Rhinolophus ferrumequinum: one gene and its partners. The protein of the gene in region 4 interacts with the protein of the main gene of each other region in a pairwise test. Links are inferred from orthologs where the notes say so. Each region holds a gene or a part of one and is shown on either strand. Other genes may lie near its edges.

Region 1 (7,718 bases), on a different chromosome or scaffold from region 4:
GAAACTGGACTGGATCCTGGAACAGAAAAGGGACATTAGTGGGACAAGTGGCAAAATGTGAATATAGTCTAGTTAGTATAGTATTAATGTTAAATTTCTTGTTTAGGTAATTTTAATATGGTTGTGTAAAATGTTAACATTAGGGTAAGTTGGGTGAAGAGTATATAGGAAGTCTGTATATTCGTTTTGCAAGTCTAAAATTATTTCAAAATAACAAGTTTAAAAACATATGTGATGCAGGTCAGCGGCTGGCAAATTTTTCTGTAAAGCACCATATAGTAAAAACTTTAGACATGTGGACTATACATGATCTTTGGGGCAATGGCTCAACTCTGCTGCCAAAGACAACATGTAAATTAACGAGAAAGGATCTTACTTTCGGACACTGGAATTTGTATTCCAATAAAACCTTATTTATGGAATTACAGGAATTGGATTTTCCTATAATTTCCATATATCACAAAATATTATTCTTCTCTTGATGTATTCCCCACCATTAAAAACTGTAAAAAACAGTCCCAGCTCACAGGCCATGCAAAAACAGGAAGTGAGGCCAGATTTGGACCACAGGCCAAATTTTGTGGACTCCTGCTCTAGGTCAGAATTTGCCAATGTGTGCTTCAGTTAAAAAAAAAAAAAAAGTGCTTCACATCAATTCAGTTTGGCAACACTAGATTAAACAAGGTTAGGCACATTTCTTTATTGCAGATATCTCAGGGACCTTAATGTGGTACTATACACTGAGAAGTTCCAAAAAGGGATAATGATCTATAGTTTTTACAAACTTATTATTACCATAGAACACTTTTTTTTGGAGGGGTCTCTTCAGATTAGCGGCCTGAAAAATGCACTATGTATATACCTGTTTAGGTATTTTCTTAAAAAGAAATGTTCAGATTGAGAAGTTTTAAAAACACCATCAAATTAAAATCATTTTACCTAGCACCTGGATGATACCTGAATAAGAATTTCGCAATTTATTTTTTTAAAATCGTAGGAAACACAAACAAGGCAGGAATATAAACATTGACAGAAAGTCTTGGCTGAAACCCAACCTTTTGGGGGGTAGGAAGCATGTCAGCAGAATTGGGTCATAATATGGAATCTTTGCTCCATAGGACAACGTAAGCATCCTAACAGGTTTTGAAGTAGCAATCTGCTTGGAGTTTTATAAATCACAAAATAGGAGTTTTGATGTTTGATTAGAAAACTAAAGATATAAGATATATAGAAGCATTACCTGCAGATAACCCATAAATGAGGATGAACTGACATGTCAAGTCCATAAAAGGACCGGTTTTAAACGCTGGATGGAACGTTAGACCATAGATTGCAAAAATCCCCTTGGTAGACACAATATCTATACAACACACTTCTGGAGAGAGGATTAAAGGGAGACTTATGTCCCAGGGAAGAAAAGCTGGCCTAAACAACCTCAAGGGACCCTTCTGACTGTGATCCAATTCTGTGATCCAAAGAGTTCACTGGCTTCTCCTGATCAAATACAAAGTCTTCCTTCAGAGGCATTTCCAAGTTGTTCTAAGAAAATAAGCTATAAACAGATGGTGTGGGGACTCTGCTTGGTTATTCATTCAGCAATGATCTTAAGGCGTCTTTATCAGATGGACCATTCCAAAGTCCTTGAAAAGGATGGTTCACAGGACAATCAGGAAGAGATTACAAGATACATTACATTCAGACCCACCGCCTTACTTCTACAAGATGTAGGCTGAGGGAATGGAGGTGTCAAGAAAAAAGGGCAGAAAAAAGAAGTCAGCTCCAGAAAGATTCAAAATAATTACTCAGAATTAGAAGCTGTCAAATGGGAAAGGACCACCATCTAATACCTGTATACCTCCTATAGCAGGAAGCTCACTACCTTTGGAGGCAACCCATCCATTGCTGGGCACCTCTGACCAGCATTAAGTTCTATTAAATCAAAATCTTGTCTTCCTGTAGAAACCATCTATTGGTCCTAGTTCTGCCCTTTTCAACCCCAAAGATGAAGTGGAAGCCCTCTTCACCATAACAACTTTTTCAGTTTTTAAAGACAGTTCCCTTCCATTGCTCTCTTTCCTGGGATAAACACCCAGTTCTTTCAAAGATCCTGAACCGGCTCCAGCTGCCTCAAAGCAAAGAATGGATATCTCGTAGTTACAGCAGGAAAACACTTAAGATCAGTGGGCTTCAAACATCAGCATGTACAGGACACCCGAGCCATACGTTCCAAACGCAGTTTCCCAAGTTCCCACCCAGATTCTAAATCACAGGTCTTATTTGAGTCCCCCATGGGAAAGCATGCACCCCTATAGCATTCCAAAGCAGATGGTGTGAGAACGGTATTTTGAGAAGCACTGCCCTGTTTTACAGACGAGGAAACTAAGGCCCAGCAGAAGAAAGGGATTTGGCCCAGAACGCACAATCGGCTGTTGGCGGCGAAGTCTCTAACCCGGGTCTCTTATGCCCAAAGCCCAACTCTGTTCACCACGCTTACCGGCCTCGGCTTCTCCACTCGGGGCAAACTTATTAAAAACACATCCACAGGAGAGAAATGGCCTCGAGCGGGGGACAGAAAGAGAGTTATAGTGAGTCCCTGCCTGGAAAGGAGAGCTCGTAAGGAGCCTTTTCCTTTCTCGGGGCCTCAGTTTCCCCCAACTGTAATCACTGGACGAAAGACCACATGCCAGCCCGACCTCTCTTCTGGGGAGGAGGGCCTGAGGCGGAGCCAGGCTTGTTGTCTCTGCGCCCCTGGACTCAGGTGTCGCAGCCCGTGGCCCGGTGAAGGCGGGACCCGGTCCCCCGCCCGTGTCCCTCAACCTCGGATGCCCCTAGCTGCTCCCCCCACCAGCCCCTCAGGTACCTGCCGCTGCTCAGCTAACGCCGCCGCCGAGGCTGCCCCAGCTTCTCCGTCAGTCGGCTGCTCCGCCGGTCTGTCCGCCCAGTCAGTGGATCGGCCTGGACCTCGGATCACTCCTACGCGAACTCCAGTCACCTGACACAGAATCGCCCCTCTCCGAGACTTCCGGCCGCAACCGGAAAAGGTTGGTCCGCTGAGCTGTTCTCCGGCCCACGCACGAGACTCTAAGGTTCCGCTTGCGGATAGGAAAGGGAGGAACTTAGGAGCTGTTTGGCAGCGTTTTAAAGATCCTTGGTCAGGACAGGGAAAGTGCCAGACAAGCTTGGAACATCTTGTTGCACCAGAATGTAAGGATGATGGGCATCCGAATAATGGGAATATGTGAAAGGACAGAGGAGCTTACTTAAAGGATATCCCACTGGCCAAATTGGAGCATTTTTGAGCATCGAAATACATAATGATAGTAACAGAGTATAACTAACTGAATAAAATGCTAACCCATGAGTCTTTACTAATATAAATAATGTAGATAAATAAATGAGGGAGAAGAGAAAAGTCTTCCTTTTAGTAGAAGCCAACTAACAAACATGATGGAGTTAGAAAATCAATAATGAGTGGTAAAACTAGAGGAACAGGATGTTTACACAGTAAAATTGTCTCCCATAAATCACTTATTGATTACAAAGGGAAAATAGTATTTTTACAAAGGTATAACCTCACAGAACAAGTGACTCAAAGTAATCAAAGTTAATGTCACCAGCTACAGGTCAAGTAGAGATCACGTGCCCCTCAATAAGATGCATTGAGAAGGAGGCATCTCTTCTGTGACATTTATATTCAAAATGCATAATCCAAATCTCATGAGGAAGCATGAAATAAACTGAAATCGAGGGACACTACAAAATAAGTGTCAATATCACGAAAGACATTTGAAGACTGAGGAACTCTTCCTGTTTAAATGCAATTAAAGAGACATAACAAAATATGGTTGGATCTTGGACTGGGGGGGAGGGAAGGTAGAATAGGTATAATGGACAATATTGGGACAAGTGATGAAATTTGAATATGGATTGTGGATTAGCATATTGTATCAATGTTAAATTTTCTAAAATTGATCATTGTATTGTGGTTAAGAGGAAATATTCCTCTTGTTCTTAGGAAATATTCACTGGAGTACTTAGGGGTAAAAGGGCACAATGTCTCCAACTTAATTTCAAATGATTCAGAAATATATATATATATTATAGAAATGATTAAGCAAATTAGGAATATATATATATTTATTTATTACACGAATGATTAAGCAAATTAGGAAAAATGTAAACAAGTGGTGAGTCTAGGTAAAGGGTATATGGGAGTTCCTTACATAATTTTTGCAACTTTTCTTTAAATTTGAAAAGATATAAAAATTAATATTTACCCTCTAAATAGGGAAAGTGCCTGGGTCCTAGCCTGTTTACTTATTTATTTATCAAATATTCATTTATGTGCTAGGTACTGGTTATGTGATAAGAGACAAGCTCTTTGCTTTCATGCCTAGTGGGAAAAATATTAAACATGCAATCACAGCACTAATGGATTACTTATCTTGAAAATAATAATAGTTAACATTTACTGAGCTTAACTAAGCACACTCTACACAATGGTTCATTTTCATTTAATCCTCGCAGCAGCCCTATGAATGGTTTTGGTGGTTGTCTCCATTTCACAAATGGGTAAAAGAAAACTTTTAAAAGGTTACACAATTTTATCATTTTATTAAAAGTTTTCAAATCACATATCATTTAATTAAAAGGTGATGGAGCTGCAATTTGCACCCAGGAAGTTGTTTTCTAGAGTTCTTGACACCCATCTTCATTGTTTCATTAATTCAACAAACATTAAGTGTCTACAGTGATCCCAGGGATTGTATTTGGGCTTGGGTCTAAGTAGGGGGTGAAGGCAGTAGATGAAATAAACTTATAGATGAAATTCCTCATCTGCCAGCCCTCTTCCCTGTTCCTGGGGACAGGGAGTAGTAACACAAGATACGTTTCCAGTCACACAAACCTGGATTTGAGTCCATCTTCTCATAAAAAGAAAAGGAGCCCCTGATATCCCGGAGCTGGCCTGGCATTCACAGGTAGGCTTTGGTGTTCAGTTGAACATAAAAATGTCACAGAACATCAACATCAGACAAGGCCACTCTGTGACTGTGATGGATCAAGACAATAACAAGACCTCTCCATAATCATACCTGAACCAGATAAAACATGAGCATTATCCAAACCACAAAAATGACCAAACATTTCCCTATCCTGGCTCATATAGAGATTGCTGCTTCTTTACCAATTACAGCTTTAGTCTCAGTCTAGTTTTCCTGCCTTCTCGATAGGATTTATCAAGATACCCAAATCATAGACAGTATCCAATCCAGATCAAAACCCTGCTGCTTCCTTGACCCTCCCCCAAATTAAATTCTAAATGTCCTTTCTAACACTCTGTTTCTGAGACGCCTCATCATTCCTTGTGGTTCACATCTCCCACCCCTCGCTGTAACAAGTAATAAACCCAACTTGTTCAACCACAAGTGCGTTCCTGTAGGTCTTTCATTGGTGGGCATCTGTTGCGCCCAGCGCAACACAGGCAGTGAGCGAACGAGAAGGGGTGGCGAAGGGTTAAGAAAGAAACAGAAATCAAGAAAGTTATGAAACCCAGGCCGAAGGGTCTCACAGCCTCAAAGGACTGAGAGCCCCGAATCGGGCCACCTTGTGGCTTTTATTGATGTACATACAAGGAAGTAGCATTGTTTTTTCCACGGTCTGTGAGTCTCATACATCATACTAGAAAACTGATTCAAACCAATCACCCTTGCCTGCAAGCAGCCAGAATTGAAAAATCCCATGATGTCTTAATAACTGTGGTATGTGCCTCCCCTGGGACAAAACCTTTATGCTGAAACTTATTGATAAGAATAGAAGGAGAACTGATGTTATCACATCATTGACTCACTTCCCACGCAGGTTGTGGGAAGGAATATAGCCACGTAGGCAGAAGCTCTCCTTGGCCAGGGGAAGGGAGGACTGTGCCCACCTCTATCGACCCATGAGTTCTTCTGGTGGTCCCCACGCGGCTGCACCTGGCTTGGGTTGTTCCCCCCATGGGGAATCTTACCCGTCATTGGCTGTGCCATCTTTTGGGGCCAAACAGAGAGACATAAGGTGTAAGCACAAAGGTGAAGCAAAATCCCTGAAAGGATCAGTCTCACAGACTCTTCTTTCTTTAGGGATAGGCACGAGGGGACAGACGGTTAGGCTGCTGTGTGACAACAGGCATCGAGAATGCCTATGCTCACTAGCTATGTGACTTTAGACAGCAGTTTCACTTACAGAAGACTGTTTCCTCATCTGGTAAAATGAAGAGATTTATTCCTACCTCAGAAGGTCGTTGTGAGGATACAGAACAGGCTTAGCACTGAGTTAGCTCTCAGTATACTTTTTAAAATTTCTGCTTGCATTATGACCTCCTTCAAAAAAGTCAGAGTACCGTCATTATGAAGAGGCATTGCAGCCATGAGCTTCACTTAAGACAAATTTGTTGATTATACTCCCCTTTGCTCCTTTTGTTGGGCAGACTAAAGGTGAGAGTTCAACTTTTCCTTTGTCAGAAATGAGGTCATTCCCGTGGTCTTTTCTGGAAAGCAACAACCAAACTGAAATTTGAATGTTAGGGAACAAGCACTGTTTATTTCTTCATGTTCTTATTATTGAACATATTTCCAAGAAATAACAGGATTGGAACTACCAAAGTTGGAAGAACTTCAGTTTCAAAAGTGTATCAAGTAATAGCTTCTCTGCTTTAGCACACTAAGGTACTTATAGACCCCAGAAGCCCTGCTGGTGATATTTTCATTTATCCTGCTAGGGCCCAGCATGGATTTCATATTATTTGATGCCTACAATAAGTTGTGCTAAATAAAAAAAGTATTCATACCAGTGGTAAAGAATAAAATAACTGGAAGTGTTCTGGTTTCTTTCTCTGCTTGCTCTGAGTATTCCAAGGGTTCTCATTTTAATAGTCTTAACTTCCTTCTGCCCCACCTCCTCTTATTCCTCTACTATTAATACTAATAATGGCAGCTAATACTTGTTGAGTGGTTTATTAATATGCCATACACTGTGCTAAGGGCTTTATGCAATTTAATCCTTGTTCCAAATTGTGAAACAAATATTATTACATATGAGGAGTTAGAGGCCAAGAGAAGTAAATCAACACACCCAAGGCTGCACAGCTGGTAAGAATCAGGCTAAAGATTGGAATCTGCCTTCAACACCTGCTCCTGTTGAAATGCTGCCTTAACCACCCTGAGCGAGAGAGTGGGGTCTGTGAAAGGATGGAGAGGGGGGCTGGAAAGGAAGGAAAAGGCTGGGGCAGGAGGGTGTGGGAGTCCATGTATTTGGAGCATTCAGATCTCCAAAATGCAGAGGGTTGGAGACTAGAAGCACAAGACAAGTAGGAGACCATTGCAGAGCCTCAGAAGGAACAGGGACCTGAGTCAAGGGTAGGAGAGGCCAGGAATCTTCTGAGTACTGGGTCAGAAGGACCCTATTCCTGGGAATTATGCTCTTCCCAGAGGATTCTGGGATATTCTCAAGATCTCAATACCCTCTCAGGTCTTAGGGAGAAGGCCCAGGCACCAAGGCCAACTGCTGCCTGCCACCTGCTGCCTAGCCAGGAGTGGGTAGCTGAGGTATGCACAGCTTCTGATCCGGTGACTGGAAACTTTCCCAGGGCCTGAGGGCAAGGAAGACCTAAAGGGACAAAGATCCTCAGATTCCCCCCGATCCTGCACCCATCTGTTCAGCTTCAGCCTCCCCCACCG
Region 2 (7,097 bases), on a different chromosome or scaffold from region 4:
AGACAAGAAGTCAAAGATGGCCAAGTTTCTGTCCTGAAGCCTAGGCAGGTGGTGATGCTGAGATACAGTACACAGAGAGAATGGGTAATAAGGCATGAAAATACCCTGGCTACACACTCAACCTGATAGAATCAGCCAGGAAAAACTCAGGATATAAATAATCAAATGTAATCTGTGCATGTGACAATTTTTTACTGTCTCTGAGAATTTTCTTCCCCTTTGTTATTCAGCTAGGTGTGAATGATGCTAGGCAAAATTCTGTACCAGGCTGGAAGAAGGTGAGGGGATCCACTTATTCACCTGAGGGCACAGGGAACTAAGTCCCTGTGCTCATAATGCGTATGTTCCAGAGTGGAGAAAAACACAGTAAGTTTCAGATAGTGATTAAGTATATGAAGGAAATACAACAAAGCAATGAGATCAGCTGGGGTGGCGGATCACAGGAAATTTCTTTAAACAAGTAACCTTTGAACTGAGACCTAAAATTATGAGAGCCACACAGAGCTGGATGCAGAGTCCCACACTGAGATGACACCAAGTGCAGAGGGGTGTGTGAAAGGCAGAAAGGAAGACTTCTGGGGCCCTGCCCTGAGTCATGGCCAACAAAATAGCCTGCTTTCAGTTTCCATTTCCTATTTATGGGCCTTTTTCTAGTTCAGCCTTCTACATACACGCTCTAACCTTTGTTACAGTGCTACGTAGAAAGTCCCTTCTCCTGCTGTATTACAGTACACAGAGAGTACACCAGACTGGAGGACATAGTCATTCAGGGCTTGAAAGAAAGTTTTATAAAAACCTAACATCCCACCCAGCCAGAGCTGCAGTGATGCTCAAATTTCCAAGCACGAAAGTTAGCAAAAACCAAGTAGGGGCAGCGAAAAGCAGGTGGCTGGAGCTAAGGGAGACTTGCGCTGCCCTCAGTGAGGTGCATCCATCTGTCTTCAATCAACACTGAACTGATAAACATGTGGAACTAGTATGATGAGTATAGAAAAGTTTGAATCCCAGTATTGACCCTTGACCTCTGATCCAGGGAAGGTTCACCTGGCTCAGGGAAACCTCAAATTTTGCTGCTGTTCAGCTGGTCAATTGTACTGGGTCAAGTCTCTTTATTCATCCATTACCACCTCCGTCAACACACACAGGTTTGATCCTTACAGTAACCTCCCGTTGCACAATGAATTTTCACAACAGTCTAAACATTTGTTGGTACTTACCGGGATGCCAAAAAAAATGTATACACATGACTTGTCTATCCTTGTTATCTGTATATATTGAGTATTACAATTTTAATACAGCTTTTTCCTTTCTTAAAATGTGTGTACATTTTTTTTGGCACCCTCTGTACTTATCATCAAGTCAATGCCTCGTGAATTGAGGGCAGCATGGCCTTCTTTCTTACTATGTCCCAAGCATCTGGCACAGAGTGAGTACACAAATATTTCAGTCTGTGGAATATAAGATTAGAAGATGGATGGTCACTGTGCAGGGCACTAGGGATACAGAGAGGGGCAAAGCAGACATGGTCACTGCCCTCGTGATCCATCAGTTTTGCTCTGTGCAAGAAACTGGAGGTGACTTCCATGAGGACGGTGATAAAGGAGGTAACAAATTGGGACTTGAGGTCTGAAAAGGATGTCGGGTAGCGGTGGGGGCGGTGCAGATGGGCACGAAGAGTTCCAGGCTAAGGGAACTGCAAACGAGAACAGCCAGGGAGAAAGAGCTTCATGTACTTGAAGAAGCAAAAGGCACTCAGTGTGGCCGGGGAGCCCTTGCCAGGTGCCAGCTGTTCTCTGGGCAGGCAAACAGATGCCTGCAGTCCATCTGGGAAGAGTCGGACACCCTGGTGAGCCTCAGAACTCTCACCTGCAATATGGCTGCCAACCCCAACCCTCTTCCCCCGCAGGATTGCTGTGGAAATAAGAATGCCTGGGAGGCCCCGCCGGTGCCTAGCGTGCCGACTGACCAGTAAAGGGGTCCTAAGCCCAATGCCAACGTGTTGCCCTCGACAAGCATTGAGGGAGGCCATGGAGGAAATGCCAACTCTCCGAGGCAAGAAGCGGATGGTCAAGTTTTCTACAGTTCTTTCAACGTAGGTGTGTTTTTGTGTCTGACGGAGCTCAAACGCCTCCAAGCACCTATCCCAGCCCGGGACCCACACTGACATTGACCCCCAACTCCTTTTGTCCTCACAATGTCTGTTAGTAATATGCGGGCCATGGAGGCGTGATTTCAAGTACCATGAAACAAGCTTCGTACCCACGGAAGGAGGAACGCTGGCAATCCCTGTCTGCCAACTCGCAGTCCCTGTCCCAGTTAAGGGCAGAGCGCTCCGATCTACGTCAAGACTTCCCTTTTGTTCGTTTAGTCTAGTTCAGCGTTTCTCCAACTTTCGTGCACGTTACAATTACTTGGCAGAGTTGGATACACGACTCCGTATGCATCGACTTTAGAGGAGGTGTACGCACTACTCAAGGGAAGTTGGGGCTCTCGAGGACAGCGGACTGTAGACCGTACCTAACCCCAAGCACGGTGCGACTCCACCATCGCTCGTGGGAAGGTGCTGACAGGCGGCCTGAACACAGCGGGCGCTCATCAGAAGGGCGGGATACTTGGGAGAGAGCAGGACGGGAGACAAGAGCGCCCTGCCAACTTTCACGAGCCTTCAGGAGACCGGGAGGGCCCCCTGGAGAAGCCCCGTTAGGCCGGTCCTCTAGCTCCCGCCCGAGACGCTCCCTGACGGGGCCTCGCCCCTCGGATCCCTTCCCCGTCCCAGTCAGGCGCCCCCCGACCAGGCCCCGGTTCGCCGCTTACACGTGTCCGCAGACCACCCGAACCGGCTTCTCGTACACCTCTAAACACACGGGACACGTATAACGGCCCAGTGGGTCCGCCTCAGCCGCGGGCCCTGCCAGCTGCGCACCACCCTCAGGGTCCTGCTGTTGCGCCGCCATCTTGCTGCCGCGGAGCGCCCCGCAACGGCGGCCGAGGAGGAGCCCGATGGGGCGGGGCCGAGGAGGCACGCTGGTGCACGCGAGGGGTGGGGCGCGGGGCGGAGAGAGGGCGGGGCTCCTGGGCAGCAAGGGCCGCTAAGAGCTCGGATTATGGAATGTACGCCTGGCTGGGGCGGGGCTAGTGGATGCGCCACGCCTTCTTGGCCCCTCTGACCGGAGGGAGGGGGGAAGAGGCGGACGGAAATCTGGAAAATGTGGAAACCAGATCCACAGACTGGTAGTATTGGAACGGGCTTTGTGCTTCAGCCTCTTTTCTAAATTTAAATTATTACTATTACTTAATATTACTTATGCACTATTACTTAATATTTCTCTTCAAACCGAGTTGCTTCCTTCAAACGTAAGCAAACAAATTTTAAAGGGAGATTTGATATCACTCCTGAGCCACAAATAGAAAATCAGTTTCACTTATTTCTATAAGGAAATTGTAAAAATACAATGGAAACAAAACAAAAATACAAATGGAAACAAAATATCATTCATTCATGCTGGATACTGCTGACGCTGAAAAGAGAAATTAGCCATTATTAGACAGGTGTTGAAGACAGGCTATCGCCACACTGAGACTTGCTAGCGAAAGCAGAAGTAATGGGAAGCCAGTCTCGCTCCGTGAGTCAACGTTAATATTGTGTTCACGTGTCTCCTGGCAATGCAATCCAGCTCCTGCTCTGTGTAAACAAGGAAGCTGGGGCTTAAGGAGATAGACTAAACCTCAATCTCACAAGAAAGGAGCAGGCCTAGACCCCATATGTTTTGAATCCTAACTTCCTCCACTTTCTACTGCACCCAGTTAGCTCTTGTATGCAGCCCATTTAACAAAAGATACATCTTTTTAGAAGGCAGGCTGTGCTAACAACCCTGCGTGGTTTGCTTAACCAGGAAAATTAACGATCAATGAAACCTCCACCTGAAAGGCCACAAAGGCTTCACAGTAAGGAGGCTACACGGGACAAATAAACCTCGTGTGTTAAACCAGGTTAATTGAATGCAAGTTTGTGCCTTCTTTGTCCTATTCCCAATCATCTGGATTGATTTTGCTTGACCTGGTGGCATCAGGAGGATTATTTTCAGCTAACCACGTGGGCATCTTTTCACCAAAAAATAATTTGGCAGGTAGGCAGCAGCCCACGAGGCCTCTGATTACTTACACTTTCCTGTTTCTTTTTCCTGTTCCTATGCCAGGAACCCATTCATCTGCTCTCTCTCCTCTCTCCCTTCCAGGGCAGACAGAGGGCAGAGGTAGCTGCCGGTATTTATAAGCCTTTGTGTTGACCCTGTAGCTGCTGCCAGACCCTGGGGAGGTGGGGGTGGGGATGTGGGTGAGGGGTGGTGGTGGGAAGAGAGCCTCAGACCTGGGCTTCAAATCCACCCAGGGCCTCCAGTTTGAGCTCTTGAAAGGAACGTTCCACGAGCTTATACTTTGTCACAGAGGCAAGAGAACAAGATTGAAATAATTCATAGTGAATGTGGGTTTTTTTGGTGCTTATTATTCTAAGCCTTTTACATGAATAAATCCTCACAGTACCCTATGCCTTAGGTTCTATTATTATCCCCATTTTACAGCTGTGCAAATTTGAAATACAAAGAAGTTAAATTACCTTTTAACATGGATGGACATGAGAGTCAGGATTGGAACACCACATGCAGTTTGGCTTTTGCACCTGTGCCTTTAAGGGTGCCTGGAAGGCTGCTGGAGCCTCCCCCCCACCCCACATCCTGATACAGTGTGGAAGTAAGACTGGGCTGTGGCCCAAGGAGTCCAATTCTAATGGGTTTCTAGGTAAGGCTGATGTTGTAGAACCAGGTAATCATATTTTGAGAACCACTAGCTACACTACCCATCCCTCCCCACGTCAGTGCTGAGACTAGACTGAATGTGCTCCATCCCTTTCTGTTTTTCCGAGGCATTCCCAGTGACAGTGTCCCCACTATACCTTTCTTTGCTTGCAAATATATTGTCAGTCCTCTCTTTTCCCCATACTCATACTTGCTGTTTTTCAACAGTCAACCTAATAATATGTGTCAAATGAATGAACCTCTCTTCTTCTCGCTTTCCCTTAATGTTCTTGTGCAAAATATTTCCCACAATAGTTTCTTCCTCTCCTTTAGTTTTTGGCAGCCTCTCCCAGGTTGCCCACGTCATCTAAGGTCCTCTTGAGGTTCTGATATGAGGCTGGAGTGGGGAATAGATCCTGTTCAAAGTCTTCACAAACTTGAATTTTACTGTTAAGGGAGACTCATTCATTTAGGCAACAAAGAGTCCCTGTGGCCTACTATGTGGCAGGCCTCTGCAGGGTGGGGAGATACAGTGTGGGAGAATAGTTGAGATGAATTAGACAGGCCTCAAATCATATAATCCTCAGAGTCCTATCTCTCAGCCACAGGTGACATGTAAAAATTATTACTACACTTATCTAAAGTAGGCAGACTTTGCAACATTATGTATTACTACACTTATTAATCTATGGGCAGGTAATTTCATCTTGATTTCAAACTGGTGCCAAACTGGTAAGAGCCAGGAGGACTTCCCATCTATACCACTAGGGGGCAAACGAGTATCTCACAGACTCATGGGGCCCACCAAGGTGAACACCAAACATCTCCCTTATTCTTTTTAGTTCCTTAAGTGTTTACAGCTCCTGCCCATTATAGCTTACTGGGTCTGGAAGTAAAAATCAAAAAGGACATAGTCTCAGATTTCAAGGAGTTTTAACATGAGTAACACTGGCATGTAAATTTTCATTCAACCAATAACTTCTATGTACCAGGCATCCTACTAACAGGTGTTGGGGATATGGCAGTGAATGATCTGGACGTAAACAGGAAAGACATAGGAGGATGACTACATAAAAATGCTGCCTCCAGAAAATTTCAGTTTATCAGTTTCTTCACCAGCTCACTGTTTTCACACAGCATTTTACAGTTTATATTATACCAAGAATCAGCCACATAATGAGGTAAAAACAATGATGATCTAATAAATTCTGACAAGAACAAGAACCAAATGAATATTATCAAGGCTGATTGAAATAAGCATTTAAATCCACCATCATCAGCTACAAGCTGCACTGCATGTGTATTTGTGACTTGAGACATTGGCTAATGAGAATGAAGTCGTCACAATATTAAAAAACTAAGCATCTATATAGAAGTAGAATTGCTGGGTCATTTGGTAAGTGTATATTTAAATTTATTAGAAACTGCTAAACCAAACCATTTTCCAAATATTTTCCACTGCCTCTAACCCGGTGTGAGTTGCTCCATATCCTACCAATAGTTGGTTGTCAGCCATCTTGATTTTAGCCATTCTATGGGGTTTGTAGTGGGATCTTGTGGTTTTCATTTTCATAATGATGAATGATGTTGAACACTTGTTCATTTGCTTATTGGCCATTTGTATGCCTTCCTTTGGAAAGTGTCTGTTCAAATCTTTTGTTCATTTTTTATTGGGTTGTCTTTATTTTTTAGTTGTAGGAAGTAAAAAATATTATTTCATACTTAGCACATACTTTTTGTAAGTATTTATTTTGAAATAATTTTAGATTTACAGAAGAGTTACAAAAGTATTTTTAAAAACTCCCAGAGACCCCTTCAACTGGATACCCCAATTTATCACATTTGCTTTATTGTTCCATCTCTCTCTATGTATACACATACACACACATAAATACACACACACGGCTGGCATATACACACACACACACACATATAATATATATGCATTAATACATGTATTGATGTATATTTATGTATAAATACATATGTATTTATGTATACATATGCTCTTTTTCTGAAACATTTGAGAGTAAGTTGTAGACATCATGCCTTTTGCTTTCAGTGTGTACTCCTAAGAATAAAAACATTCTCTTACAAAACCATCGTACAATTACCAAAAAGAAGTTAATATTGATACAACAGTATTACCTAATCTATAGACTTTATTCATATTTTACCAATTGTCTCAATAATATTTATTTAAATAAAAATAAATGCCTTTATTTTTCATTATTTGTTTTTGTCTGGTTCAAGATCTCATCTAGGACAGTCTCTTTAAATTTTTGTTAGTCTGGAACCGTTCATCAC
Region 3 (7,993 bases), on a different chromosome or scaffold from region 4:
GGTGTAGGGAAAGCACTTCCTTTTTCTGGGCAAGCTGCTGTGGTTCTCACTAACGAGTCTGTGAGCCTGGAAGAGAGCCATAAATCTGAAGAGGATGTATTTTCCTACTACTGTGTTTTGTTTACTTCAACCCCTTCCTTTAAAATAAAATAAAAATAAATAACTAAACACCTAACCACATGCAATGTTGGTGGGCCCTCTAAACCCTAACCTTTAGAAGATCAAATATAAGACAAGCACATCAGACCAGGCTAAAAAAGACAGACACATTGAATGTAACATAAAAGCAAGATTTCTAATATTTTGTTCCTCCTCAAGATCTTTGCACATGCCATTTCCTCTGTATGTACCATCCTTCTTCCAGGTCTTCCTTCAAATGTTTCCTCAATCCAGTCACTTCTTAAACCTCCATCCGGACCACCCAGAGTCCAAGGTATTATCATCTTGCACCTGGTCCACTGCAACCCTCCTAATTGGACTCTGACCTTCCACTCTAGCCCCTGCCTACATTCCGTTCACACAGCAGCCAAACTGATCCTTTAGAGATGCACATCGGATCACTCCACTCCCCTGGCTCAGCACCATCTGATAATCCCCTACCATTTAAATTAAAATCCAGTCTTTACCTTCATCCCCAAAGATCGGACTCTTCTGGATACCTCTCCAAGTTCCTCTCCTATCACTCTCTCCCTTGCTCACTACTCTCCAGCCACACTGGCTTCTCTCCTTGAAGCTCCTGGGGCTCAGGATTTAAGCTCCTGTCTTGGGGCCTTTGCACTTGGGGCCTTTGCACCTCCACGTACAACATTCTTCCCTCAGAAATCCACTTAGCTAGCTAGCTTCCTTACTTCACTCATGTCTCAACTCAGATGCGACTTCATTAGACAGGCTTTACTTGATACCCTATTTAAAGTAGTGGTTCTGTCACTGTCTGCCACTTATCCAGCTTTCTTCTTCTTCTTAGCACTTTCACTGGCAGACATGTTATTATAAACCTATTTGTTAGCTGTTGGTGTCTGTTTCCCTCACTAGAATGGGAGGTCCCTGAGGGCAGGGTCTGCTGTGTTCCTGGCTGTATCCCCAGCTCCTGTAATCGTGCCTGGCACTCAGTAGACAGTTGATAACGATTTGTCAAATGACTCTTTGCTTGGCTGGCTCCTTCTCATCATTCAAGCCTCAGGCCAAATTTGTCATCTCAGAGAAGTTGTCTCTGACTTCTGGTCATAAGTAGTGCCACCCTTCCCCTTCCTGGCCCTGTCCGTCAATCTGTATGGCACATACCACTTTCTGAAATTGTTTTATTTATTTTATTTGCTTATGGTCCTTCTTTGTACCTCCCCCTCGCCCAGCAGGGACCTGTTGTGTTCATCTCTGTGTGTTCCAGTGCCTAAGACAGCGCCTGGCTCATACATAGTAAGTCCTCAGGCCAATAACTGTTGGGCCAATAATGAAAGGTATGGTGACTGGAGAGCAAGTTGCAAGCACATACCCAGCTCCTTCTTTCAATACTCACCTTTTGGCCACAGGAATCCACAGCATTAGGAATATGTTCTTCAGGTGGATGCTTCTCATCAGACCTCACCCCTTCATGTGACTGTGTGAGCGAAGACATTCTGGGTCTCCTATTTTTCTCTATTGGATTTTCGGTGGGTTCCAGGAAGATAGGCACAGGTTTGTCCTTAACCACAATTTGGTGCTTTTCCTTTTTCAACACTCCCTCCTTAGCTTCAGTGGAGACATTAAACACACACATACACATAGGCATATAAGTGATTTCAAATCCTCTTACTGTGTTTCCCCGAAAATAACACCTAGCCGAACAATCAGCTCTAATGCGTCTTTTGGAGCAAAAATTAATATTAAGACCCAGTCTTAATATTAATATATAAGACCGGGTCTTATACAATATAATACCCGGTCTTATATTAATTTTTGCTCCAAAAGACGCATTAGAGCTGTTTGTCTGGCTAGGTCTTATTTTCAGGGAAACAGGGTATTCATGTATCTGTAGCCTGCCCCGGCATCCTGGGATGGTGGTTGGTAATAGGGGGTGTGAGAGAGCTATTCAAAACTCTCAAGCAGGCAGCTTAAGTTTTACTGCAGAAATGAAATCTCAATGATATGGAACATCGTCCACTCATTAAAAGTCATGTCTCTGAAACTGTCTCGGTTTCCCATTTCAATGATGTGGAATAATATTCATCACATAAAGTGGAGTGAGAAAAGTAGGGAATCAACAGTGCAGACTCCGAATTTTGTAAATATACATATGTGTTTACTGACGTTCATAGAAATAGCCTGGAAGAAATATACGAAAATGTTCACATTGTTTATCTCCAGGTGGTTTTCTTCTTTTTGTCATTTCTATAGTGCGCATATATTACTTTTGTAATCCTCAAGAATAAATCAAAGGAATAATTATTTAAAACATAAAAGTGGAAAACCTAAAGGGCACGGGGTGACAAACGTCTGGGGTAGGGAAAGGTGCTTTTTTGAGAGCTGAGAAATACTATAAGGCAGGACGAGGATACTGGAAAGCGTGAACTCGAAGGCGGCGCTGTCAGACCAAGATCCCAGACTGGGCACCTCTGGACTCCATCCTCCGTGGCTGCGGGCTGCGTCTCTTGTCAGCAAGAGCCCGCGGTTCCCGTGCCCCATCAAACAGGTGCCATACTTTCTCCCGCCCTCTCTCCTAGGCCAGCTCACACTGGGTTAGCCTGGAATCCCGTGAGGCTGGGCCGCAGGGGCGGCCTTTGCAGCCCCAGCCCGGCCCGCGGCTCACCTGCCCTTTCCACGAACTCCACCACGAAGGTGCCCGGCGCGCCCGGGCCCAGGGGTCTAACGGTGCACTCCCCGCCGCCGGAGCGCCGGCTCTGCAAGTAGCGTTCCAGCTTCCGGTGGAGAGGTTGCTGGAGATCCGTCTCGGACACCCGCACGAGCAGCGGGGACGGCGAGCGGCGGTTCGAGGCCATGGCTCTCGGCGTCGAGCTGGCGCACCGGCTCCGGCCTCTGCTGGGACAGGGACTGGGGCAGGGGTGCGTCCCGCCTCGTCGCCTTGGGCCTCAAAGTTTCAGTTTCGCTTTCCCCGAGATCCCTCCCTGTTCCCAGCACAGCTACTCTCCTTCCTCTCCTTGCTGCCTTCCCTGCCGCCGTCTGGCCGGGTGAGTATGTCGGTCCCGTGTCCCCCCGAGCGGTGGGCGCCCAAGGCTTTCGCGTCTCCTTTTCTGCGGGCTTGGCCGAGGTAGGGGTGGGGCGGGCGAGAAACGGGCTCCTAGGGCCAGGCGGCCCCCGCCTCCAACCCAGGAGAGGGTGAGACTGGTCAGAGGCTGAAGTCGAAGTTTCTCCCGAGTTTGTGATTCCTTTTAACTCTTATTGTTACTATTGTGTGCAGCTAAAATGTAATTCACATTGTGAATTCGGATTAATACCTACATTTGAAAAAAACTGAAAGTGTTCTCCTGCATTATGACATATCACCTGTTACCTCCCTCCAGCTCTATCCTTTAGACTGGCTCTTGGAGCGTGATTTGGCCAACAAAACCGGACTGTGTGCTGCCCTTTGTACTGGGGAATAAAGATGAACGCAGAGGCCAGCGACCTCACAGGCTGGTAAAGGGAGGCGGACTTGTGAATAAAGAAGCAAATCTCTTGAAAGCGCCCAAGAGGAAGTCTGCAGCAGAGTCTTAGAGAATGTGTGTGTGAGTGTGTAGGGGTCGGGAGGGAAGGAGCATCTGAGGCCCAAGGACCCTTGTGATCTGAAGCAGAGGGAGCTTTGGGGCCTTGGAGGAGATGAGATGGGTGAGGGACGTGACAGAGGAAGGGTCTAGATCAGTGCTGTCCACATATCTAATAGGAACCACATATCTAATTTAAAAATATTTAGTAGCCATATTTTAAAAAGCATAAACAGCTGAATTTTAATGATGTTATTTAATTCAATATAATCTTACATGTAATCGTTCCTGTATCTCAAATTAATCATTCAGCATGTAAGCAATCTTAAAACCGTATGAGATACTTTACATGCTTTTTGTCATACTGAGTCATTACTACCTGGTGTTTATCTCACACTTACATCACATCTCACTCAATTGGGACTAAGGAGCCACATTTGGGGCGTACAAGAGCTCCATGTGGCTAATGGCCCACAGCGGACAGCGCAGATCTAGACAGTGAAAAGTCTTGAAGATCAGTGGGGAGAAACGGAAGGGTTGTGAGCACCGGAAACAGAGTGACAGGTCAGAAGTGCATTTTAGAAACATGGCGTGGACAACCATGTGGAGGACACATTTCCAAGCAGGGACAAAGGAAGTAGACAGGCCTGAGATAAGGTTTTTGAGATAAGACAGGCCTGAGACAGGCTTGGATTTTGCAGAATCCAAGCCATTTTGGCAGTACTATCAGCATTACAGCTGCATGGGCTTTGTGATTCTGCAGTTAGAGGTAGGAGGGCGCCTTTTACAGTTTCTGAATTTGAACCAGTAAACATAATACCAATTCAAACAATGAAATGTAAAATTAAATACATTAAAATCTTTAAAGAGAATGACATAGCTCAGACAAGAGGCCCTGAAGTGAAATGATGTCAGTGGGCAAGGAGGGTAGGGGCATATTTGAAAGTGGGTGCTTTGGACCCAAGTGATGGGTTCCATCTGGGACAAAAGAGGAGATTCTAGATTTCTGACTTGAGTGGGTAAATGGTGTATCATTGACTGAGCTGTGGAATCCAGGAGAGAGAGCATGAATTTCGGAGCGGGTCGGGTGGGTGTAGGGAGGTGAATCCAAGCAAAGGGCCTGTAAAGGCAAAGTGAAAGGTAACAAAAGAACCAAGGGAAGATAGCATAGGAGAAGCCAAGAAGGCAGAGTTTTAGGACTCAAAGAATGAAATGATGATAGAGAGAAGTCAAGTAAAGATTAGGACAGAAGAGAGTCCACTGGGGTTAACCTTGTGGAGATCACTGATGAGCAGTTTCAGAGGAGTGCTGGGGGTGGGGCAGGAGTCCACCACAGTGGGCCGAGCAGGCAGACGGATGGGGGAGAGTCAACCTCTTCATGCTGCCCATGCGGAGAAAAGAACACAGTAGGAACTAGTAAGGGAAAGTTGGGAAGGCTTTTGTTGTTAATTGGTGTTGTTTTTAAAATGAGAGAGATTGAATGTTCTGAGCAATATGCTCCTTGTTTCTAATTTCTTTGGGGTTTAATAACCCCTCACCCCACCCTCAAGAGTCTATCCTTAGGCCTTAAAAGCCTGGTCGAAGGAAAAACATAAGTGCTACAGCATCTGAAGCAAAAGCCCACCTGATGTCCACAGCCAAAGCAGACAGGAGACTTCCCTCTTTTGTGAAAACAGCAGTGCCCTCTGGAGGCAAAAATGCATCTTGTCCTCACACTTTAGGACTGTATTGGACTTGCTGCTTTTCCTGACATGTAGGAATAATAGTTCCCTGATGCTGTAGATAGTCGTACAAAATTTTTCATTACAAAGGCATTAGAAATCATTTCAGAGGCCTAACGACAACTATGTGGGCAACAAGTGTAGGCAACTGTGTTGTTAAGCATTTTTGTTGGTCTCCAAAAATTTGATCCCTACATATTAGATGGAAAATCATTGAAATATGTTTTTCCAGAGTTTCTGATGTTTATCCAGACAGTCCCCTTTCTAATTAGATCAGCAAATTTATCATAGGCTCAGTAACACATATCCTTGACAGGCATAAGTACAGTTTGCTTTCTTCAGACATTCTCCAGGGGTCTTCATACTCATAAAGCTGGTTTTGCCTCATTGTTCTTTGAATGCTGTGCTCTGTCTTAGCTCTTGGAATCATTCTCCTCTTCCAATTAACTATATACAAACCTGCTCCATCCCTCAAGGTCTGGCTCTCGTCTCACCTTCTCCATAAAGCTTTCCCTACTATAACCCTTATGGTTCTTTCCCCTCTCTGAACTGCCATTACGGTTTCAACTGGAACCTCTCTGTAAAGGACAGAAGGTAAACAGTAACCACAGCAGAAAAACAATAGGGCATCTTCACCAGTAAAACTAAAAGCTACTCAAGATCAGAAATCATGTTTTGTCTTCCTATGGCGTATTCTTATCAAATTTCCTAAGATGCTGATCAGTGCTTATTGCATCCTTTCTATTCATTCCTAGAAGTGGACCACCATAATTGGAAACAGCAGTCTACGCTCAGAAACGCAAAACAGAGTATAAACATTGAAAGACCCCAGGTACTTGGAGGATGGACTTTTCCAAGGTAAAAGTACTTTTTTATAAATGTATACTCACATAAATCATGAACTTTGATCAGGCATAGTACTTCCTATAACTAAGCACGAAATCTGGGTCTTCAGTTATGCCCAGTATTCGTACTTGGTTTTAATAGCCCAATAAAAGTTGTCTCCCTGTACCATGTGGGAGAAGAGGAATCAAGAACATGCTAATCTAATCAACAGAGTCAACATGAGGATCGATGATTTTTAAAAATATGACTTCAGTATCATTTTTATTCTATCTTCTCATGCAGCAATTCTGCTTTTTTGCAGGATGGGGTAGAGGAGGAGGATGGAGGAAGATAAGCAATTGAAAAGTGGGTCCTTATTGGTAGACAGGAAGATATAGCTGATGAAGCTCATGTCCGCATGTCTTCTGTTCTGTCTAGAGAAACCCTACAAGCCTTTGGAAATTGGAGGCCTGTCTGAAAGTTTTGGGTCCTTTTGGCCTGTGATCTTTGGGCCTTTTCAAGTGTTAATCTCCAACCCATGTTGAATTAGAAGTGTACTGGCCTCTAGGAAAGTGGGGTAGGGTCATTGTTTGCTAGAACATTTAGTATTTCAAGTATTTCAGGCACACAGATTAAACAAATGAACAAACATGTGTTCCCCTTCCCTCTCAAACCCAGTGCTTTTAGCAGAATTTCTGTTGCTCTGTGCTTATTAGGCTGTATTTGTTATCAGTAGTCTGTAGTCATTTGGTTTCAGTTTTTTTTAAACCACTTTCATTTTTCACAGGGTACTGGAGCAGCAGCTTACAATGAGAAATCAGGTAGGATCCTGTCAGTCTCGGGCTTGTTTCAGAAAGTCTTTGCACCTATCTTTTCTCAGTGGAGAAAGGGGAATACAAAAGGAGACTGTCTACCCCACAGGTGCTCAGGTGCGTGATTGCAGGACCTTGTGGTGACCCGGCACTTGTCTCAAAGGGGGACTGCTTCAGAGGCGGTGTGGCACCAGCTGACGTGTTCTCTTAGGGCTCTCATTGGTCCTTTCCTTTGCTCACAAGATGTCAGACTCTTCTGTCCACAGCCGTAGAACTGAAATTGGACAGAAGAGGTGACCCACTGATTGACCCTTGCTCAACAAGGGCTTTGTAAGAGCCAAATGGAACCTTCCTAATCCTAGAGGTGGCCCACTTGTGATTTTCAACCAAAACGTGGGCCAGTTGGATCTGGCTACTCACGTACTGCTTCTTTTAGGTAATTGAAGCCACCAAAGTTCTTTCTAGGTGACTCAGATTAGAAATGGGAGTTGAAGTAAAATATAATTAACTACGACATTTTCCCTATTTTAGGATGCACATTTTTTCATATCTCTGAAATAAAGCTCCTCCCTTTCAGTAGTGTGCTATGGTTTAAATGGCATCGTTTTTCCTTCCTCAGTGACATATAATAACGATGCCTTAGACTCCAGTGAAATGCAGTGTCACAAGCGGGGTTCTCAAGGAAGCAAAAACTGAGATGGAGTTAGGAATGCAAAAGATTTATTGTGAAAGGAAAAGAGATTTGGGGAGGTGGAGCCATCAGACTGTAAGGAAAACCTGCCAAAGCTCTGCCAGCCTGAGATTGCCCATTACGGGAGGCCCACATTAGACATAAATGGCCTTGCTCAGCCGTTCATGGAGGCCACCTTGAGAATAGTGTGACCTTGGCTGGAAAGCGGAGATGGACTCTGAAGGGCAAACAACTAGAGGCTGTCAACTAGCCATATTCCCTCCTTCATAA
Region 4 (7,829 bases):
TTCAAAGGGGATCTTTTGGTGCATGTTGTCCCAGACATCCAATTACCAACCTGTGATTAACCTTTTCAAATATATATATATAGATATATATATACATCTCACACACACAAAACTACATCTATATATATCACACTATATATATATATATATATATGAATCTGTATATTTTCCCCTTCTGATAAAAATGGTGGCCTTCACACTATTCTACACCTGGCCTTTCACATTTGCTTTATCTTAGAGGCTATGTTTTAATTAACAACACACTTCAAGAATGGCCAATTATAACTTTTTATGGCCAGAATTCAGCAAACATTAGCAATCGTTACAAAGGCACTTAAAAGCCGCCCCCCATCCTTAAATCAACCAGTATTCTTAGTAAACACAAGCATAAGAAATAAACTTTGGTAAACTGGAAATTTACACAGGTGACACGAAAAACTTGCTTACTAGATCAACCACTCAAGATAGTGCATTTATATACTTAAAAAGGAAACACATGGACTGTACTATAAATCCCTCAATGAGTTGAAAATAATTCACTTACAGAACTGGCCCTACTAAAACACAGGTGAAATAAAATATTGGAGCCAATAAAGCTATTTATTGGTTATATTGCAAAATTAAATTATCTGACCCTTTCTTAAATGTACTTTGAAACATACTTTCCAGAAGAAGATTCCTTCCAGATTTATAAAGGTACGATTCTTTAAAAAAAAGTTTGTGTTTGCATTTCCTGTTTTCTTCCTCTGAAACACTAAGACACTTGAAGCAAGGCCTCACTATCCCTTACATATAAACAGCAGTATTATTTTAACAATATATGCATTACTATAGCAATACAAGATTTCTTTTAAGGTTCAATTTAAGTATTAAGAATATCACAGTGAAAAGTCACTGCATACAAGCAGAGACCATATAAATCACAAGAGCAGCAACTTACCACTTTTAAGTATTAGAAAATAAAGCATTAGAAGTTTTATATTAAGTTTCGGGATTGTACAACCTTATTATAAAAGGAATGTTTTAGGCTGTTGGTAACAATATTAGCTGCAATCTTTCATTAGGAACATATATGTCAACTATCCTGGAATATGTCTTCTTATTAAATAAAAAATAAAATCATTGTTTCACTGTGTATCAGTACATTTATGACACTATTTCTGCAATACAAAATACAAAGTCATCCTTCCATTCAGAATTTTGGCATATGAACAAACACAGAGGTTTTGCTCTGCAAAACCGATCATTACTTATATACTACACTCAATAAATCTAGTATTTGTCATTTTTTAATAATTTTAAAGAATTACTTTCTCTAACTGGAAAAATACATAATCAGTATAGACTCCGTAGCAAAAAAAAAAAAAAAAGCTCAAGTGCTACCAGATTTATGTCAATTACTCATCACACACTTAAAGAGTAAATCATTGAGATTATCAAAGTACCAACGTAAGAGAAAAATACAAATAGCAATGATACGTTTAATAATGGCATGTGACATCTTGAAAATAATCATTTCAGTATTGCTTATTAATTTTTGTTTGTTAAATCTAAAGAGGAAAAACAACCTGGTATTCTTGTTGATTTGGGTATGAAAAATTTTACTGACACTTGCATGGTTTTGAGTCAAATTCCTAGAACATTTAAAATATCTTATATAAATAAATGTGGCTAACACTAGAGCATCTAAATTCTGCAGAACTCAAGAGCAGATTGAGACAAAAATTTTTTAAAAATCATTTCAGATATATTATGATATACCTACTCACTTGATAAGGAACTATAACAATGTATTAATGTGGCAAAATCCCATGTGTTTAATACGGCTGTTTTTTAAAAGTAAGAATTAACTATGAGGCACATCATAATGAAGTTTCATGGCACAACACACTCACAAAGGCATTGTCTTAGGAGAGGCTTTCTGATCTGTAACTTCTGTAACTTGTAATATTTTGAAATAAGCTTCTCATACACTCCCATTATTTTTTCCTAGCTAAAAATATTTAAATGCCTTTCATACAAAAAACAACTTGCCTTTACCCAGTCAAAAGCTTTAGGTGTCAACACAAAAGAGGCCTAGGAATCGGAGGTAAATGAAAATGAGATAATGGTCTAGATTGGAATTAATTTCCTATCTGAGGTGAAAATTCCCTTATCCCCCACTCAAATACGATAGTATCCCATTATGTCTCCTCTTCTCTCCCAACACCCAACCAAGAGGGAGTAACTCTAAACATCCTTCTCCTTTCATCGATAACTAGGGACTTCCTTTAAGGAAAGGACAGTGGAGGCCAGACAGGCTATAACCAAGAATACCCTTAAAAGTGTGGGCCTTTGAGCAGCGCGGCTCTCCGGATCCAGTTACCACCTTTCCCCTTCCCCCAACCCACTTCCCGGGTTTTCTCAGGCTCGGCCTGCTCGCTCCCCACCACCCTACAGCCACACTTCCAGCTGTTGCCACTGCCCCGGGGTCTCTCTAGAGCTCACACCACCAAGTGCCCCCTTCTCCATCTGTCCCCCCCCCCAAACCATGTTCCTCTCCACACGACCCGCCAGCGAGACCGTCCATCCCAGGGCCCTGGGAGGGGAGGGGAAGGCGGCGGAAGGAGGGGGGAGACTGCTGCTTCCCCACAGGCAGAAGGGCGGCCGCAAGGAGGGCCACCCGGGGGTTACCGGGGATATTGGGAGCCGCCGCTGGCAGGGCCCTCCCGCCCTGGGCTGAGATGGGGGATGTCCCGGAGTTCATTTCTGACCTCCTCGCTCTTCAGCACCTCCTTGAACTCCCGCTTGATTCGCTGCACCGCGATGTTGGCCATGTCTCCGCCCGCAGCTGATTCGTACCCGCCTCCTCCGCCACCGCTACGACCACCGCCACCGCCGCCACCTCTTCCTCCACTGCCTCCTCCTTCGGCGATTCACACCCGAGCACACGAACACTGCCACTGCCACCCCGGCCGCCTCGCTCTCTTCAGTATGGGATCACCTCCGTGCCCGGCCACCAAAATGGCGCCGGCCCCGCGCATGCGCACGACGCTGACCCGACCGGGCGGCGCAGCCGCTACGGTTGTAGCCCCACACGCCTCAGCCGCGAGCCGGGAGCCGCGAGCTCCGCGTCGCGCCGCGCCGCGCGTCTCTGCCGGAGCTGCGGCCGCGTGGCTCCGCCCTGCCGGCGTTTGGGGCCTGGAGGGTGCGGCTTCCGCGCTAGCCTGCCATACTCCGGCCTCCCCGGTCGTCTCCTCTTCCTCCGCCTGTCTTCAAACCTGTATGGTATGCCCCGGGCTTCCAGCCCCCAGCCAAAGGCTGGAGTCCAACCTGATGGGTTCGTACGGCCCCAGTCGGCTTAGAGCACTGCCCTGAACTCAAGCAGACCCACGGGCTTAATGTGCTTGGCTCTGTGTATGAAAACACTATCCCAGAACTCAGACCGGCCGGTTTTCTGCTGCTTATAGGCCCAGAAAATCCACCGCTGTCCGTTTTTGTTCTGAAGCCATTACAGAGCCACTATTACGATCATGCCAGGTATTACAAATCATTGAATTAAATATGGTCTTTGTTGGGTCCCATGCTCCATGGAGATGTTTGAGATGGTTTTAGAAGCCAGATGTTGATCTTTGATCTATTTTGATAATACCTAGCTGTGGAACTAAAGCCATAGTTTTTAAATTTGAGTATACATCGGAATCCATTGTTTAAAAAATCGGATTGTTGGGCCCCATCGTTGGAGTGTGGGGTAGGCCTAACAATTTGCGTTTCTAACAAGTTCCCAGATGCTGCTGCTCCTACTCCTGGTTCAGGGACCACACTATGAGAACCACTGAACTAAAGCATGTGAAAATAATTTACGTGTATATTAAAGTAAAAAATGGAGAAATAGACGTTTTCCGGGGAAGAAGGGCAGCTTTACTTCTGTAAGTCTAGGGCCTACAACAATATCTGGCACTAATAGGCACTTAATAAATATTGAATGAATAAATGAGTAAAGAGTAAAATGTTTTAAATGGAAAGTAAGTTTGAAAGGCAATGTGAAGTGGTTGCGAGAGTTTACGGTAAGTAATATGGTTTTGGTGATTCGATAGTTTGAATAAAACATTTTAGAATAATAAAGGTTACTTAGAAGTTTATATTTCACGCACTTCTTTCACTTAACCAATTAGTAAAGTACCCTATTAGACAAATATCACAAATACACTGTCTTAGCAAATATTACTAAGATTGTGGCAGCAAAGAAAGGGAATAGCCACAGGGAGTGAATCACTCAGTGGAGGCACATGGCAAAAAAGATTTTCTGGAACCCCTGCCACAGGAACCAAGAGGATATTTTTGATTCCAGCTCTCCTCCATGCCAGCTCTCTTGGCCAACTTGGTTTTCTCACCTGGAAAATAAGAAAGCTGGATTAGGTGATCTCTTTCAAGTTTTTAAAGTTCAGAATTTTAAAGCATCATGGGGAAACCTTTCCCTAAACGGACTAAAATAAATTATAAAAACCCTTTCTGCAGAGCCCCCTAGTGGTCCTAAGAGTAACCAATTATATACGTGGGTCATGGTACAATGAATTATATATTTGTATATACAATTGTATAATTTATATTATATAAATCGTGCAATGCTATGTGTATTTTTTCCAGTACATTAAAAATAATTGTGAAGGGTGCAAATTTTTTTGAGTATTTTACATGTATTACTTTCAGTCCCCAGTCTTAGAACTTCAAAGAAACTTGGAACATTCAAATCACAAGAGTACTAGTTAGAAGGGTTTGGTAATTTCTTTGAGGGAAAGGGGTTTGATAATTTTTAAATGCACATAATCATTGGCCTTGAAATTCTACTTCAAGGAAGTCATTCTAGAGAGTTTTTCCAGAGAATAAGGCAACTACCTATTAACTGATAGGAGGCAATCCTAAAAATACATTTTAAGGGGGGGAAAAAAGCAGTATGCTAAATGTAATGTGGTATCCTGAACTGGACTCCAGAACTGAAAGGACATAACTAGTGAAATCTGAATAAGTTATGTAACTTAGTTAATAGTATTGTACAATGTTAATTTCTTTGTTTTGACTAAGTATTAGGGTTATTTAAGATGTTGACATTAGTAGAAGTAAGTAAAGAGTATACAAGAATCTCTGAAACGTCTCTAAATCTAAAATTATTCCAAAAGAAAAAGTTTACTTTTTCAAAAGCATGATGCAATCCATGTTGTATATAGAATACCACCATATGTGCGAAGGAAGAAAGGAATATGCTTGTGTATATAATACTTGTGAATCCATAAAATATCACTGGAGAAATACATAAGAAACTGACAACAGTGGTTTTCTCTGAGAAAGCAGCTTAAGTTGCCTTGTGGAAGGCAAAGTGGGAGACTTTTCACCATGTGTCCTGTTGTATATTTTATCTATTCAAAACTAAATTTTTAAAAATGAGTTTCCAGTAATGCAGATTATATGCTCTTCACTGTTAAGATCTAGTTCTGATTAATTATTTCATTAAGTAATTAATTAATTAAGCAACTATTTATTGAATGTCTACTATGTGCCAGGCATGACCTAGGCCCTGGAGGGATATCAGTGAACAAGAGACAAAGAAAACCTGGAATTGTGGGATTTACATTCTAGCAGGGATGGGGAGAATTAATTTTAAAGTATAGTCTGCAGATACCTGGGGGCCCCTGAGATGTTTTCAGGAGGCAGTCTGCAATGCCCAAACTATTATCATAATAAAACTAAGACATTACTTGCCTTTTTACTGCATTGACATTTGCACTGATGATGTAAAAGCAATAGTGGGCAAAAACAATTACTGTAGTAGTAATAATTTTATTAATACCACATACGATTAAAAAATGCCACTTTAGAATGTTTTTGGTGAAGCAGTAGAGATTATTAATTTTTATTAAACTTAAACTTTTGAGTACATATCTTGTTAATATTCTGTGTGATACACGTGAAGGATACATAAAGCTCGTCTGCTGTACACCAAGATATGTGGCAAAGCACTTGTGGAATTGGTTGAGTTACGAGCTGAACTAGCCAATTTTTCATAGAACACCATTTTTACTTGAAGTAATGATTGAGACAAATTATGTTCATTAGGAGTTGGGTATTTGGCAGATATTTTATCAAAAATGAACAATGTGAGCCTGTCACTTCAAACTGGAAGAATTTGTTGCCAATGATAACATTCAAACTTTCAACTGAAAATTATAGTTTTTGAAAACACATCTGCCACTTTGACTTGACAGCTTCCCAATACACTTTAAGACATTTCTGATTAAATTGGTGGTGATATTAACAAGTGAGATTACTTGAAACTGTACAAATGTTTTAACATTTGGAAGATCTGCATAAATCAGTGAACCAATATTTTCCAAATGACCAATGCATGATATTACAGAATTCATGTAAGGGTAAAACATCCATTTAAGGTTTGAGAGAGACCAGTGGATTTTAATGTAACAGTACAAAAAGTTCATTGATAATGTTTCAGATTCCACATTGCAACTAACCTTTAAGAAACTACCATTTGTTTAGATTTATCGTAGTATTAAAGAAGAATATCCACAATTGTCTGATAAAGTTATTAAAATTTCCAACTATGTATCTGGATGAGGCTGGATTTTCTTCATATACTTAAGTCAAAGCAACATAGGCAACATTGACTGCAAAAGCATATATGAAAATTCAGCTATGTTCTATTAAGCCAGGCATTAAAGAGTTTTTGTTAGGAAAATATAGTTATTTTTTACTTAAAATATATTATTTATGTGAGCATGTAATGGATTTATTATAGTTATTAATAAGTGTTTCAATAATTTGTCAGTTTTAATTTCTAACACAATGTTGTTTAACCCTCAAACAAATACTCTTTGGAATTCTCAATATTTTTGAAGATTATAAAAGAAACTTGAGTACATTTAAGTATACTGTACTGCTTAGACGTAAGGCTTAAATCTAAAAAGTCACACACTTTCAGAATAATTTAGAAAAATGTATATATGTAAAGGTTGTAAAATTGGTTTTAGATTGATGGAGGAAAGTTAATCTGGTAACTCTTCAGTTGTCCCTAACAGAACAATGTGTTTTGATGTGTTGATTCACATAAAAAAATACAGTAAGGCATAATAATGTTTTGCTGACCCTTGATAATAATCGCCAACATTGGAAATGTGAACGTCTTCCTTTTTGTATAGCTCCTGCTATTTACTGTTACTGCTCTTGAGATTCAAATTTCCTGTTCTTCTAAATGCAGAGCAATATTTTTTTCTATGGCCTTTCCTGACCTTATGTTTTGCCAGCTTTTGGAGACTTTTTTCCTCTGTCTCTCACCACTGCCTATTCCACTCAAGCCTCTCATTTAACTCTCTTTTTGAAACACCCAGTCATAAATTTGAGATCATTTTGCTTTTTTCAAACCCCTTCACTGAGTTCTGCCCTTTCCATCTTGTTAGCTCCTCTCCCCTACCTTTTCCCAGCTCTAGCAGCAAAGGTGGAAAACAACATTTAGATCCACAGTTGAACTTCTAAACTTAGCTCCAGGCCAGTAGGCACCACGGTATTGATTGTAATTACACTATATCCCAAATGTAGAGAATTGATCAGAACTCCCACTATTGTGGCTTTCAGAATTATCTACAGTGTGTTGTGGAAAGCTGGTTTTAATAGCACAAAATATGTTTCCTTGTCTTAAGTTACTGATTAGGATCCTGTCAGGCACAGAGATTCTTTAGATGGGAGTCTTTTTAGGAAAGGATTTCATACTTCCACTCTGTCCAAGGAATATGCAGCTACAAGTGGAACATAGCTATGGGGCCTTTACACTTCACATTCAAGAC

What was found.
Region 1: the proteins of UBE2K (region 4) and RNF185 interact in binary tests that used the Homo sapiens proteins (3 or more experiments, as listed by UniProt). The link is inferred for Rhinolophus ferrumequinum from reciprocal best matches to the Homo sapiens genes UBE2K and RNF185.
Region 2: the proteins of UBE2K (region 4) and RNF114 interact in binary tests that used the Homo sapiens proteins (3 or more experiments, as listed by UniProt). The link is inferred for Rhinolophus ferrumequinum from reciprocal best matches to the Homo sapiens genes UBE2K and RNF114.
Region 3: the proteins of UBE2K (region 4) and DTX3L interact in binary tests that used the Homo sapiens proteins (3 or more experiments, as listed by UniProt). The link is inferred for Rhinolophus ferrumequinum from reciprocal best matches to the Homo sapiens genes UBE2K and DTX3L.

Annotation. Positions count from the first base shown.
Region 1 is NC_046308.1:20,177,534-20,185,251, reverse strand, and holds the start of RNF185 (E3 ubiquitin-protein ligase RNF185), read right to left. Parts: upstream 3,021-7,718; 5' UTR 2,861-3,020; intron 1-2,860. UniProt on the Homo sapiens protein: E3 ubiquitin-protein ligase that regulates selective mitochondrial autophagy by mediating 'Lys-63'-linked polyubiquitination of BNIP1.
Region 2 is NC_046306.1:9,561,676-9,568,772, forward strand, and holds the start of RNF114 (E3 ubiquitin-protein ligase RNF114), read right to left. Parts: upstream 3,003-7,097; 5' UTR 2,955-3,002; coding exon 2,815-2,954; intron 1-2,814. UniProt on the Homo sapiens protein: E3 ubiquitin-protein ligase that promotes the ubiquitination of various substrates. In turn, participates in the regulation of many biological processes including cell cycle, apoptosis, osteoclastogenesis as well as innate or adaptive immunity.
Region 3 is NC_046285.1:47,308,671-47,316,663, reverse strand, and holds the start of DTX3L (E3 ubiquitin-protein ligase DTX3L), read right to left. Parts: upstream 3,008-7,993; 5' UTR 2,973-3,007; coding exon 2,783-2,972; intron 1,726-2,782; coding exon 1,514-1,725; intron 1-1,513. Other genes in the region: protein mono-ADP-ribosyltransferase PARP9, read left to right, coding at 6,239-6,253, 7,008-7,149.
Region 4 is NC_046288.1:14,523,897-14,531,725, forward strand, and holds the start of UBE2K (ubiquitin-conjugating enzyme E2 K), read right to left. Parts: upstream 3,021-7,829; 5' UTR 2,817-3,020; coding exon 2,754-2,816; intron 1-2,753. UniProt on the Homo sapiens protein: Accepts ubiquitin from the E1 complex and catalyzes its covalent attachment to other proteins. In vitro, in the presence or in the absence of BRCA1-BARD1 E3 ubiquitin-protein ligase complex, catalyzes the synthesis of 'Lys-48'-linked polyubiquitin chains.